Drosophila melanogaster: one gene and its partners. The protein of the gene in region 1 interacts with the protein of each later gene in a biochemical or structural test. Each region holds a gene or a part of one and is shown on either strand. Other genes may lie near its edges.

Evidence for each region.
Region 2: of the proteins of arm (region 1) and sgg, one has a biochemical effect on the other in vitro, tested with the Drosophila melanogaster proteins (2 studies listed by BioGRID).
Region 3: of the proteins of arm (region 1) and mbt, one has a biochemical effect on the other in vitro, tested with the Drosophila melanogaster proteins (one study listed by BioGRID).

The regions. Positions count from the first base shown.
Region 1 is NC_004354.4:1,898,895-1,902,494, reverse strand, and holds the start of arm (armadillo), read left to right. Parts: upstream 1-1,848; 5' UTR 1,849-1,985; intron 1,986-2,321; exon of another isoform or gene 2,322-2,451; intron 2,452-2,884; exon of another isoform or gene 2,885-3,191; intron 3,192-3,455; 5' UTR 3,456-3,484; coding exon 3,485-3,515; intron 3,516-3,600. Other genes in the region: CG32801 (uncharacterized protein), read left to right, coding at 33-343; Ldaf1 (lipid droplet assembly factor 1), read left to right, coding at 693-782, 881-1,058, 1,218-1,430, 1,482-1,729. UniProt on the Drosophila melanogaster protein: Isoform neural may associate with CadN and participate in the transmission of developmental information. Can associate with alpha-catenin.
Region 2 is NC_004354.4:2,644,949-2,648,777, forward strand, and holds the start of sgg (shaggy), read left to right. Parts: upstream 1-1,688; 5' UTR 1,689-1,923; intron 1,924-3,829.
Region 3 is NC_004354.4:16,608,958-16,612,786, reverse strand, and holds the start of mbt (mushroom bodies tiny), read right to left. Parts: upstream 2,103-3,829; 5' UTR 1,596-2,102; coding exon 425-1,595; intron 354-424; coding exon 82-353; intron 11-81; exon of another isoform or gene 1-10. Other genes in the region: Nup153 (nucleoporin 153kD), read right to left, coding at 3,689-3,782. UniProt on the Drosophila melanogaster protein: Involved in neurogenesis of the adult central nervous system, and together with Cdc42, regulates photoreceptor cell morphogenesis. Phosphorylates exogenous substrates when activated by Cdc42.

The DNA of each region.
Region 1 (3,600 bases):
TACTGCTAATAATATCTTCTCCTGCCTTCCAGTTCATCCGCTAACACGGAAGTTCTACGCCCAGTATGAGCAACGCCAGCCGACGGATACCTTGAGGTACCTACGGCACACTTGGCCTGAGAAGCATGTGGAGCGTCAGAGGCAGCTCGGAAAAGCTGTTCCGCTCCTGGAGTCGCAGGTGTACGGCTGGTTGCCGCTCAAAAGTGGAGAGCGAGCCGCCGATCTGAACTTTCTGCATGCCAAGAAGGTGCGCTGCGGCATGACTGTTCACGGGGAGCGCTTGGTGGCGGAGAGGATTACGGCGCGTCCTCCGTTTAACGGACTCAGATTCCTGCTTCACTAATCCTACGGCGAAGAAATGTCGCACGCTGACCGCCATTATAAATTTATAATTTTTTTTTTAACATAGTGTTAATTTTTTTTTTGTAAACAAATTAATTATGATTAAAAAGCAAAACTAAGCCACGCTAGATCATTATTAAGAAACGCATCTTGTCTAATTCAAATTTAGTAAAAAAAAAGGTGGCAGCTCTCCCTCGATGATTTAGTTTCAGGGCTACGACGTCGATTATTTTTTGTTTATTTATATTGTTTTCATTTACTGTTGCTTCAAGCAGGCGAATGAACCTGGAACAGACTCCTCCTGTAATGCGCACAGCAACCGCCTGAGATTCTCGCAGTAGCCACGCAACATGGTGGGTACGGGTGTGAGTGAAGTGGGTGTTCCGGCATCTTCGGAAGAATCCGTAGATTTCGGCTGGAATCGGCATCGCAAGTCAAAGGTCGCGTTTCACGGACTCAGTGGCAGCCGGCATCTAATCACTTGGGTTCTTTGACTCACATAATATTCATAACTGATTTGATTTGATCGACTCTGCAGGCTCACTCGAACAAGGCTCGCAAAGCAGCCAAAGAGGCAAACGCCAAGAAGTCTGCGGGATCGGGAACAGAGAGCAAACCGGAGCACGTAAAGATACATGGCCCAGGCGATCGTAGTGCAGGAGTTCTGACTGGCGACCAGTTCCTGGAGAGCTTGCTCCAGACTCTCTACAGGTCATGTATGTCCACTAGTTGAAGTACTATCTGTAAAAGCGCTTAATTGCTTACTGCCACAATTAGTTACTTATATATGTACTACTCTGTACGGTTGTTAACCTGTTTTATGCATCACACCGCGTAACAAAAGTTGCCTTTGTTATAACGTTGCCATATTGCAGGGCTTCAAATCTGCCGCCTGGCAGATTTTGTGATGTCCGAGCTAGGTGGAAATGATTTCCTGGAGGCCACCGCGGCCTGGTGCACCCGGAATCCGCACGTTGCTATCTGCCTGCTAGCTGGTGGTCTTGTATTCATGCTGCCCTTCCTTATAATATTTGGGTTTGGAATAGCCACCATGGTTATGACCTTTACAGGTTTGCTGGTGCTAGAAGGTGCGTTCCGTAGTGTTTACCAGAGATCACGTTCTTATCGACTCGTTTTAGGCACACTCCTGACCATTGTGTCCATGGTGTTCTTCGCCTGCCTGGGAGGACTAGTCATAATGGTACCTCTCTTCGGTGTCGCCGCTGTTGCTGCCTATTTCGGATTTGCCCAGGTGTATGGCCTATGTGATGGAATAGAGATCCATAAGAGCGCGTGGGTCATGTTCTTTAGGGATCAACGGAAGGCCGGCGATCCGCCGCCAGCTGCTGTGACCATAACCGATGAACCCACTTCTACGACTGCATAAACCAATATTGCTTGCCCAACTTAAATATGTATTAAGAAATTAAAGACCAGTGTTTGAATACTTTTGGAAATTTAAAAAGTGCGCTTTCTATTTTGAAGCAAGTTGGCAGCCACCTGCGATAGAGGAGTTATCGGTTATCTGTTCTGCGCTCATATACACAGTTTTCATAGTCGGGGATTTTTGTCGAATTTAAATATCTAAGTGCGTCAAAAGTGCGTTAACCTGCCTTTGAGCAGATAAATTTACTTTCGAAGCGGTAAGTAATAGTAAAGTCATAGATATTTCTTTAATTCGTCGCCCAAAAACAATAGTTTTTGGTCGTACCTGTGTTGTCATACACCCTCATGTACACTCAGGTGCTTGTGTTGGTAAATGTTTATACAAGATAAACGGTGAGTTCGAGATAACATGATAACATGAACTAGAAATAAATTCGCCTTAGCTAAATTATAAATATTGTGAATTGAGTTTCTTAAGGATGAAATGCTATACAAATTTCGTGAGATTTTTGTGTTCTCAGAACAAAAAAAATTTGAAAAATTCCTTTGGCCTATCGCACAGGGCCCATCGAGTTATCGGGACAGCAGCAGGCCATCGCTAGTTGGGTTTCGTCGCCATATACACAGTTTTTCTCGAGCAGACAATTCGCTGTTATTTTGTTTCTTATAGCGTTTTAAATAAATAAATCCTGCTCTAAAGCAGACTTAAATTCCTTGGACGCGGTGAGTACTGTTAGTCGGTAGTGAATCCGTTTGGAAAGCCAAAGTTTCTGTGTGCCATGAAAGTTGGAAAGCCATGGCAAACAAGTCGGCGCGGGGGTGGGCAGGGGTTCGCTGGATGTGCGCCTGTGTATGTGTGTGTGTATGATCTGGATACACACAAACGGCATTTTTATGTATTCCTCCCCCGTAAATCGGGCGCTTGTTTTGTTGCTCGCTGGAATGTAAACAATGCCACAGACAGGAAATCGTTTTCTTCGAATCTAGAGGCAGGCTTATCGTTAGGTGTTTTATCTAATCGACAACTGAAATGGAGTTGGGATTCTTTCTGAGCTGCCTACGCGAGTATGTGTGTGTAGGCACAATCGTTTGGATGTGTGGCAACTCTGCGCAGCACTGCATTTGTATGCTGCACTGCCGCGGCCCTTTACTTTCTCTCCCAGTCTCTTTCCCTGTCCCTTTCCCGCACTCCGCACGCGCGGTGTTGCAAGTGCCTTGCTTTGCTTGCGCTCTCCGCATCTGGATTCTGTTCCGTTTAAACGAGCGTGCTGGTCGGTCGCATTTTCCGCTGCGCCTTTTTCGAGAGAAGTGAAAAATCCATTTTGTTTTTTGTTGGAGTGCATGAGATTTGAAAGAGTGCTAAACAAAGTAATTAAATAACTCAAGGTTCGTGGCCAAAGTCTTCGGCAGGTAGACACACACATACCCACAAATACCCGTTCTACCTGCGTAAGAATGTATTAGTGCGTTTGTTTGTATACGCAGCATATTTCATATTATGCTTCGGCATCTCAAAGCGGAAATGAGTTAAAAAAAAAGACCAACGACTAGAATAAGTGACTAACGGACGATATCTGCGTCTGTTGGCAGTCTGCAAACACAACAAGCCCTTCTTTCCGGGGCCCCCATTTAGTGGAGTTCCGTGGTCTCCATCCGAAGCACACACGAACTCCATGTTATTGACTGTCCAGCACATTACTCATATACTCTCCGTCTCTTTCTTGCAGGTGTGGTGTAAAGCGCCTCAATCACCAAGATGAGTTACATGCCAGCCCAGAATCGAACCAGTAAGTATTTCCAGCAGCGGTACTCTTCCCTTTCCCATCTTCCAGGGAGTATGCAAAGAGCATCAAAGTTAACTGTGTATCAGAG
Region 2 (3,829 bases), 750 kb from region 1:
AATTTATTGTCAAAATTCTGTTCTGCTTTAAATGCCAAAATTGTGTTCAAAATCTTTCGTCAAATATTCCAATAAATTAACTTCAAGGACGGACGGCCATCACCTTTTAGCCTTATTATCATTAAACAAAGCGCTACTTTCGCAAAACCATCGTTGCTATTTTGACTTGACCACAAGTCACTAGAATCAGTAACCATATCGGCCAACAAGAAGGCAGCTAAACAAGGACCCACTCGCGATGTGAAAGTCAAGAGCACGGCCATCGAGAGCGGCCCCTCCAAGCCCCCGCCGGACAAACATCTGGAGCGCCAGTTTGTCCAGTCGGTGAATAGTTAGTGTCCGGTCGCTTTGTTCAGCTGAAGTTATTGCTAATTATTATTAAGTTCTCGTAACTAATTTTGAATTTTCTTCTTCATTTTCTTTCCAGGTAAGTTGACTATCATATTACCAAACTTCCTATAAACGGGTAAGCAAAAGTCTGTTCTCCCACATTGAAGTCTATATATATATATATATGGTGATAACTGCTAAAAGCAAACTTATAGATTGTAATTGTTTTTAAGTGTTTAATTAGTTTATAAGTAAAAGCTACGTATATGTAAAGCTAGCCTAATTTCGCAGAATTTGTAGCTAGTGTTGCCCAAATGGGTTAAGTTACATGAGTTTATGTTATTTTGTTTACAAATGAAATTTGTGGAAATATGTACCAATACAGGGTTTAAGATTTCGATTGTGGCGAACATTTATGGCTGTGGCCTTGGGACTTGCATACTTTCGGGCGGCGCTCGTAATGAACCGGCTGCATTTTTCGATGCTTTCGCAATTAGCGGTGGTTAAAAGACCTCGCCACCCACATCCCCACCTCCCACATTCCCCACCCACTGAATTTTCCACTCTTTAACTCTTCTGTTTTTGTTTTGTTTTGTTGACTCATCGGCACGCGCGCTCTCATTTCGGCCTCTTTCTTTATCTCTTTCTCGGTTACCTAATTTTTGCATAAGTCGCGTCGCCGACACATGAGAAATTCCGGCGCAGCGTACTAACAAATACGCACACACTCGCACACTCGCACATGCAGCTAGCACACTCACGCACCGCATGCAAATTAGCTGTCCGCTGACTAGAAATTCTTTCGCGAGCGCTCTCTTTCCCGCCCCTTTGCTCTGTGTGCTCGCTCGCTCCCCACACGCCGCACACGCTCCCCCGCTTCCTCCCTCGCCGTTCGCCGTCCATGTGACGATCAATTTTAGCGCACATTGGGGCAAATGTGTGGAGCAAGCTGCCAGCGATGCTCTCTTTCGGGTGAGAAACAACATAAATACTTCTTTCATTTAATTCCATTTCCATTTGAGAAGCGAAGCAAAGCTTTCGGCCCACCGTGCAACGTTCAATGCTCCGGTACAGCTGCGGTCAGTCAGTTAGAAATCAAAGTTATATCAAATGTTCCTTGGAAGAGACCAAAAATGATGTGTCATGCCTTAGTAGAGACAAACTTACCTAGAAAGGTGCCTGTATTTATAAACTGGTGTTGACATTTATTTAAAGTTGTAGAAATATTGATTAGTTAGGTGGTCCTTCCGTTGCGAGCGCTGCTGTGCTGCGGGACGCCGGCGCAGGCGCTGCTGCGCTGCCGGCGACGCTGTCGGCTGATGTGAATGTGATGTAGATGCCCATGCTTCGACTCGCTCACTCGCGTTGAATCCATCGAGCAGGCGCGTCGTTCTCTCCTCTCGTTCCGGCGCGTTCCATTCAGCCATTCCGCGACTCTATTTGCCTGTTGTTTTTGTAGCTTTATCAGCGACAAAAAAAAAAAAAAACGAAACGAAACAAATATAAATATAAATAACAACGGCGAAACAAAAAGTGAAACAAAATCGTGACGCGCCTGATTACTTTATTTTTTGTGTCAACAGTGTGTGCAGTGTAATGTGTCTCCAAAAGAAAAATAAAAATTAGAAACTAGTCGAATTCAATATGCATTGAAATCTAATTAGTTGCCGCATTGTTGTTTTTGCCGCCTGACACCATTAGAAAATCACGAAAAGAGCTATCAACATGGCCTAAAGTGACCAATGAATTGGAGTTTATTTCACGGCGTTGTGAAATATGCTCCAACTTTAACCCAAAAACCCACACACACTCATTGCCAATGTATTAATGTTTTTTTTTATTTTTATTTATACTTGGGGGAGATGTGTATTTTTTTAGTGGGGCGAATGTTCTAGAAAGCTCTTTAAAGTACCTCGATTTGTGTGGGAATCTAACGCTCGTTGTTTGCCCCTTCCTCGCAATAGTTGTTTGTGAATATGTTGCGATGTATACGTATCCACGATTTCAGTGCATCTTCACTACCAAATCCAAGAAGAAGAAACTTAAAATTCATCAATGGAAAAGTTTTTGCAATCCCCCTGTCTCGCTCACTTGCTCTGGCCCCCTCAATCGCCGCTCTCTTTCCGCCGCAAGGCGCACAACAAGTGGCAAACCGAAGCGGCGGCGTCGTCTTCAAACCAGTTTTACTGTAGCGTTGTTGTTGCTGCTTCAGCTTACACTGAAAAAATAACGCAGTCAATAACGCAAATTAGTCCATAGCTTGTTGGTACCATTTCGTTTGTATATTTTATAAGCACATTTTGTAAACAGGAATTAATGGAGAATACGCAACACAAATCTAAGGCACGATTTCTAAAAAAGTTTAAATGATGTGGTGATTAATGTTTGTTTATTTATCACGACACTTAAATTGTTCTCTGTGTAATTCTGCGGCTGCTGCGTCTCCGCGATAATTGGTGCGGAGGTTGCCCCTTCAGCCCTCCCCCCAAACTCCTCCATCTACCATTCCATCTACCGTTCCGCCGATCAGTATTTGCTTTTATGGGCAAAAGTTCTTCAATGAGTGGTCACAGCATTTGTGAAGGGAGGGGGGCGGAGGGGGCTGCGGTACGTGCATGCAATTCCTTATTGGCGACAATGTTGAAATGTGTGCGCCTGTTTGAAGGAAAACACCAGAGATCAAACCAATAGCTTTAAAACTTTGATTGCCTTTTGATTAAAGCCATGTGGAACTTAGTGCCATCACCGTTATTGGGCAGATTCTAATTGGTTTTCCAAGTAAGATGCTGAAAATGCAATTTTTTCTCGTAACGTTAATCGGTGAACAGGGAATCCCCCTCATTGATCTCCCAGCGCAGTGGAGCCAAAGTCCTAAGTTTTTTCAGCATGGATGACAGTGCCTATTAGTGTGACCGCTGGTGTTTGTGGTGGCTTGGGCCAAAAGTGAATTATTCATGTTGTTGCTGCTGTCGCTCTGCCAGTGGAAAATTCCCAAAAAAAATTCGCATGAACTGCGCCGGCTGCTCCTCCGCTCCTCCGCTGCCCCACATGCTTCTCCTTCCACTCGTTCTTCTTCTTCTTTGAGTGCCCCCCAAAGGCAAAAAGTCGGAGTCGAAGTTACTTGGTGTGTTAGTTGTTGTTGCTCTTGCCCACTCATTCGCTTCGGTTTTTTTTTATTTTCTTTTCTTGTCTTTAACATTTTTTCTTTTTATAAAAATAGCACAGACGAAGAAATATTTGCACACACACACACACACCACGCACACACGTGTATTGTAGCATTTGCTAATTTTCTTCGTTTGTTTCGCTTGGCGTTTTTTGTTTGTTGATTCGCCTATTGCCTCCGTCTTCCCTCTCGCTCTCCGCCACTTTTATATTTTCAAAGACAGCAATTTGTATCTTTAGTGCGGGGATCACTTTTCTCTCTTAAACCCGACTTTCTCACGCTCTCTTCCGGCGCTCTTTCGTCTCCTTATCCACCACCCACCCACGCCCTAAA
Region 3 (3,829 bases), about 15 Mb from region 1:
GTTCTCTGCTGCCCAGTTTGGCCAAGGGAATGGTAATGGGAACGGGGACAGGAAAGGGGCAGTGTCATGCTGGTCACGCACCTGTGAGTGCAAATAGGCCAAAGCCTTCAAGCATTGCTTGCAGACGGTGGCTATCTGCTCCTCGTCCATGCGCGAATGGGTGACAATATCGGTGAGGGCGCCGCCCTCGAGGTACTCCATCACCACCCAAAGCTCATCGTTGACCAGAAAGCTGGAGTATGTCTCCACGATATTGGGATGATGGTAGTCCCGCATGATGACGACCTCGTTGAATAGCAGCTCCCGTCGCTGCTGTTTGCGCAGATCCATCTTCTTCACGGCCACCTGGCGACCTGTACGTAATGAGAAAACCAAATGCCATTAATTCAATGGTTTTGACAATAGTTAAAGCGGATGTTCTTGCCTGTGGATTTGTCCGTGGCAATGCATACGGTGCCCGTGGAGCCCTCGCCTATTTTGTTAAAGTGGTCGAGGTTCTCGCGTGGATCACCGGCGGAGACCACCATCTGAAGGGCGGCACGGAACTGTTCGTGGGTGAGTCGTTGGTCCTGCTTTGGCTGACCCGCCGCTCCTCCACTGGCGCCGCTCGCCTGCTGGGCAGCACTGCTCGCTCCCCCGCTGGAACTGGATGCCCTGGACGCCGACTTGGCCAAATGTTGGTGATGGTGCGGATGCGGATGAGCATGCGGATGCAGAGGATTTTGGTTCTGATCGCCACCCTGTTTGGCCTGCTGTTGCTGCTGCTGCTGCTGCTGATGGCTTGTGGGATACATGGGAGGATAGCTGCCGCCGCTGTTGCCATTGTTCGTGTGCGAGTGATTGGATCGCGTGCCACTGGCCACCGAACCCACGGGCGAAGTCTGCTGTTGCTGGGGCATGGAGCCGCCGGATGGCGGGGCCAGATTGCTGCGATACTGCTGCAGGTTGGTTTGATCCGTGCGCACGGCCAGTGGTCCTGTTGCTCCATTCGCGTGCGCATGCTGACTGTTATAGAGCAGGGAGGGATGGGCACCGGGTGGCTTAAAGCCACCGCTACTAGCTCCACCTACTCCCGGTGTTCCAGCTGCCGGTGGTCCCTCCTCCTCCGGCACCGATGGCGGCACATTGGCTACCCGTCGCACTCGCGGCGGACTGGAACTCCGCAGCGAATTGGATCTGGCCACGTGAGAGGTCTTCGGCAGGACTATGCCGCCCGTCTCGGGTGGCATCATCATTCCGGGGCCATGGCTCATCATTGGGTGTGCGCCAGGTGCCATGGGATTCATCGGCGCCATTGAGCCCATCATCATTGTGCTGCTGCTGTTGAGCGAGGTGGTGTCCGCCTTGTTGTTGTTGTGATGCGGACGCACAATAGTCTTCAGATCGAGAATCTCGGTGGGCGTAATCTCCGAGGGATCGACCAGTGGCAGCGGGCGGTTGGAGGACTTGAGTATCTGATTGTTGCCCACAATGGACGCCCATTGGAGGGGCAGGCCAACATATTTGTTCTCCCGCTTGTCGAAGCCCGTGTGCACACGATGCTCAAAATTGCTGGGCATCGAGATCAGCGGTTTCTTTTTCTTCTTCGAGAACATCTTCAGCGACTCGGATTTCCCGTGCTCCAAATTTCTGCCCTTTTACCGCCCTTTTCCACTCCACACCACTCCTTCCCTCTCGCTCTTGCTCTCTATTTTTAATGTGTAATTTTTTTCTTTTTGTTGCGTCGCCCGACAATGGAAAATGCACAAACAACAAACGATGGCAACGGCAAATCCGACAGAAACAACAACAACAACAGCACACAACTTCTTCCCGATCTCACTCACACACACACATGCAGGGACACGGGCACGCACGCACACACACACGCATAGCAGCGGACGCGACTGGGAAACTGGGATTCAATTGGATATGGATGGACAAATCGAGATGCGCACAAGCGATACACCTTCACCACTTGCTCCTCTGGCTGGCACACATTGCACACATTATGGCGACAGCACGAGCGCACAAGCAATTCGCTTAACAAAAAAATAATAAACCTAGGGAAATAATTGCCGATGCCAGAAATAGAGGTGGTGTTTATCGTGAGTATTAGTGCTGGAACGGCTATCGATGTCTATCGCAATGGCGGCAGTGTGACCGTTGCCGTGGCATGGTGAGTTCGCCTGTGGTCAACTGGCTTTTCGAAATTCAAATGTTTGTAAAGTATTCGCGCTGAAAACAATTACCATTCAAAGTAAGATATGTACTTTAAGACACCAAATATTCGTTATAGAATTTCATTGCAATTCCAGTTGAAAACCCAAGTAAAGAGCACAATGTTTAAATTATCATACCGCATATATTTACTTATTTACATTATGATACCGTTTCTCTCTCAACATAGACTTCTGATTTCCATTTCTGTTCTCGACTTAAAAATGATCAATATAAACTTAAAATAAAATATTAAATGTTCTTTATGAATTTATGTATATAAAAAACATGCATACAATTATAACTCTTTCGGTTTTCCAGTTTGCCACCATTCTCTCTAATCTTTTCATCTAATCTGTTATCTTGTTAGCTATAGGGTTGGTTGGTTTCTTTACGTTGCTAGATAGTTGTTTTTCTTTAATTTGTTGGCTTTCCACCTTGGCTGCTGCACAGAACGTCGTTGCAGGTATTTTCCTCGTGTGAATTGTGTGTGTGTGAATCTAAACGCTAAAATTAATAACAAAAACTAAAGACTTAATGCAATCGTTTGCCGATCGCTCTTATCTGACTGCAATCATCATATGCTCGACGTATCGGCCAATAACTCGAATATACGTATTACTACATTATACAGTAGTTGATTTTTTGCGCTATTACATGGCCTCGCATCTCTGTTTGATTGCAGCATTACACGTTTCTTTACTATTTCGCAAAATAATTATTACATAATTATCGTTAAGGTATATTATATATTCAACAAAAATAACGTTAAAATATATTCATTTTCGTTTTTTTTTTGGTGCGATGAATTCTCGCGTAAATCCAACGAAGTGTTTTTATAATTTGTAATCATCAATATGCGTAGTATGAGCGACATTCGCGTGGTCATCTCCCAATCATCGGAGAGCAGAGAAGGATGTGGAACGAACCTATTCCTTAGCTTTTTAAGAGTAAGTCGGAGGCTTCTGTCTCGGTTTCGAGATGACGCTCCTTTGCCGCACTATCTTGAATTGGGTCCTTACTAGTACAGTTCGTTCTGTTGATGTATATACCGCTGAATCTCGTTCCTCCTGTTGGTTGTCCTCCTGGTCGCCAGTTGTTGGTGTTTTAGGGACATCGTCGCCATTGGTTTCATTGCCTTCTCCTGTTGTATTCTGCCAAATATTCCTGCTAAAGGGTTTCCTGGTTTCAGAGTTCAGGCTGTGGCGGCGTACGAAGCGGTATTTGTTCACACATGGCGACTTTGGTGACTGCATGTTTATCCTCGATGATCCTTGAATATCTGGCTCCTGGTGATATTGGCTCTGGACCGAACCTTTGAGCCCACTATTGTTGCCGGCGTCTTCTGTGTCTTGCTTTTCCTTTTCGGCCCTTGATGCTTTTGCTGCTACTGCTGATTCTGTTACTCTCGGCAATGGCTGCCAATATCTTAATCCTAATCCGACGGCGGCCTCATTTGCTATCGTGATGGCCGACTGCGATGCCATTTCTACCGGGGCGGCAAACGGCGTACGGGGGCGCGGATTTTGCGGCGAGCCGTCTGGGAACTCTGCGCCGAGTTGCCCGCAGCTGGCGGATTGAAGCTGCGGATTAACAATGGATTAGTATCATTATCATATTTGGTTGGTCA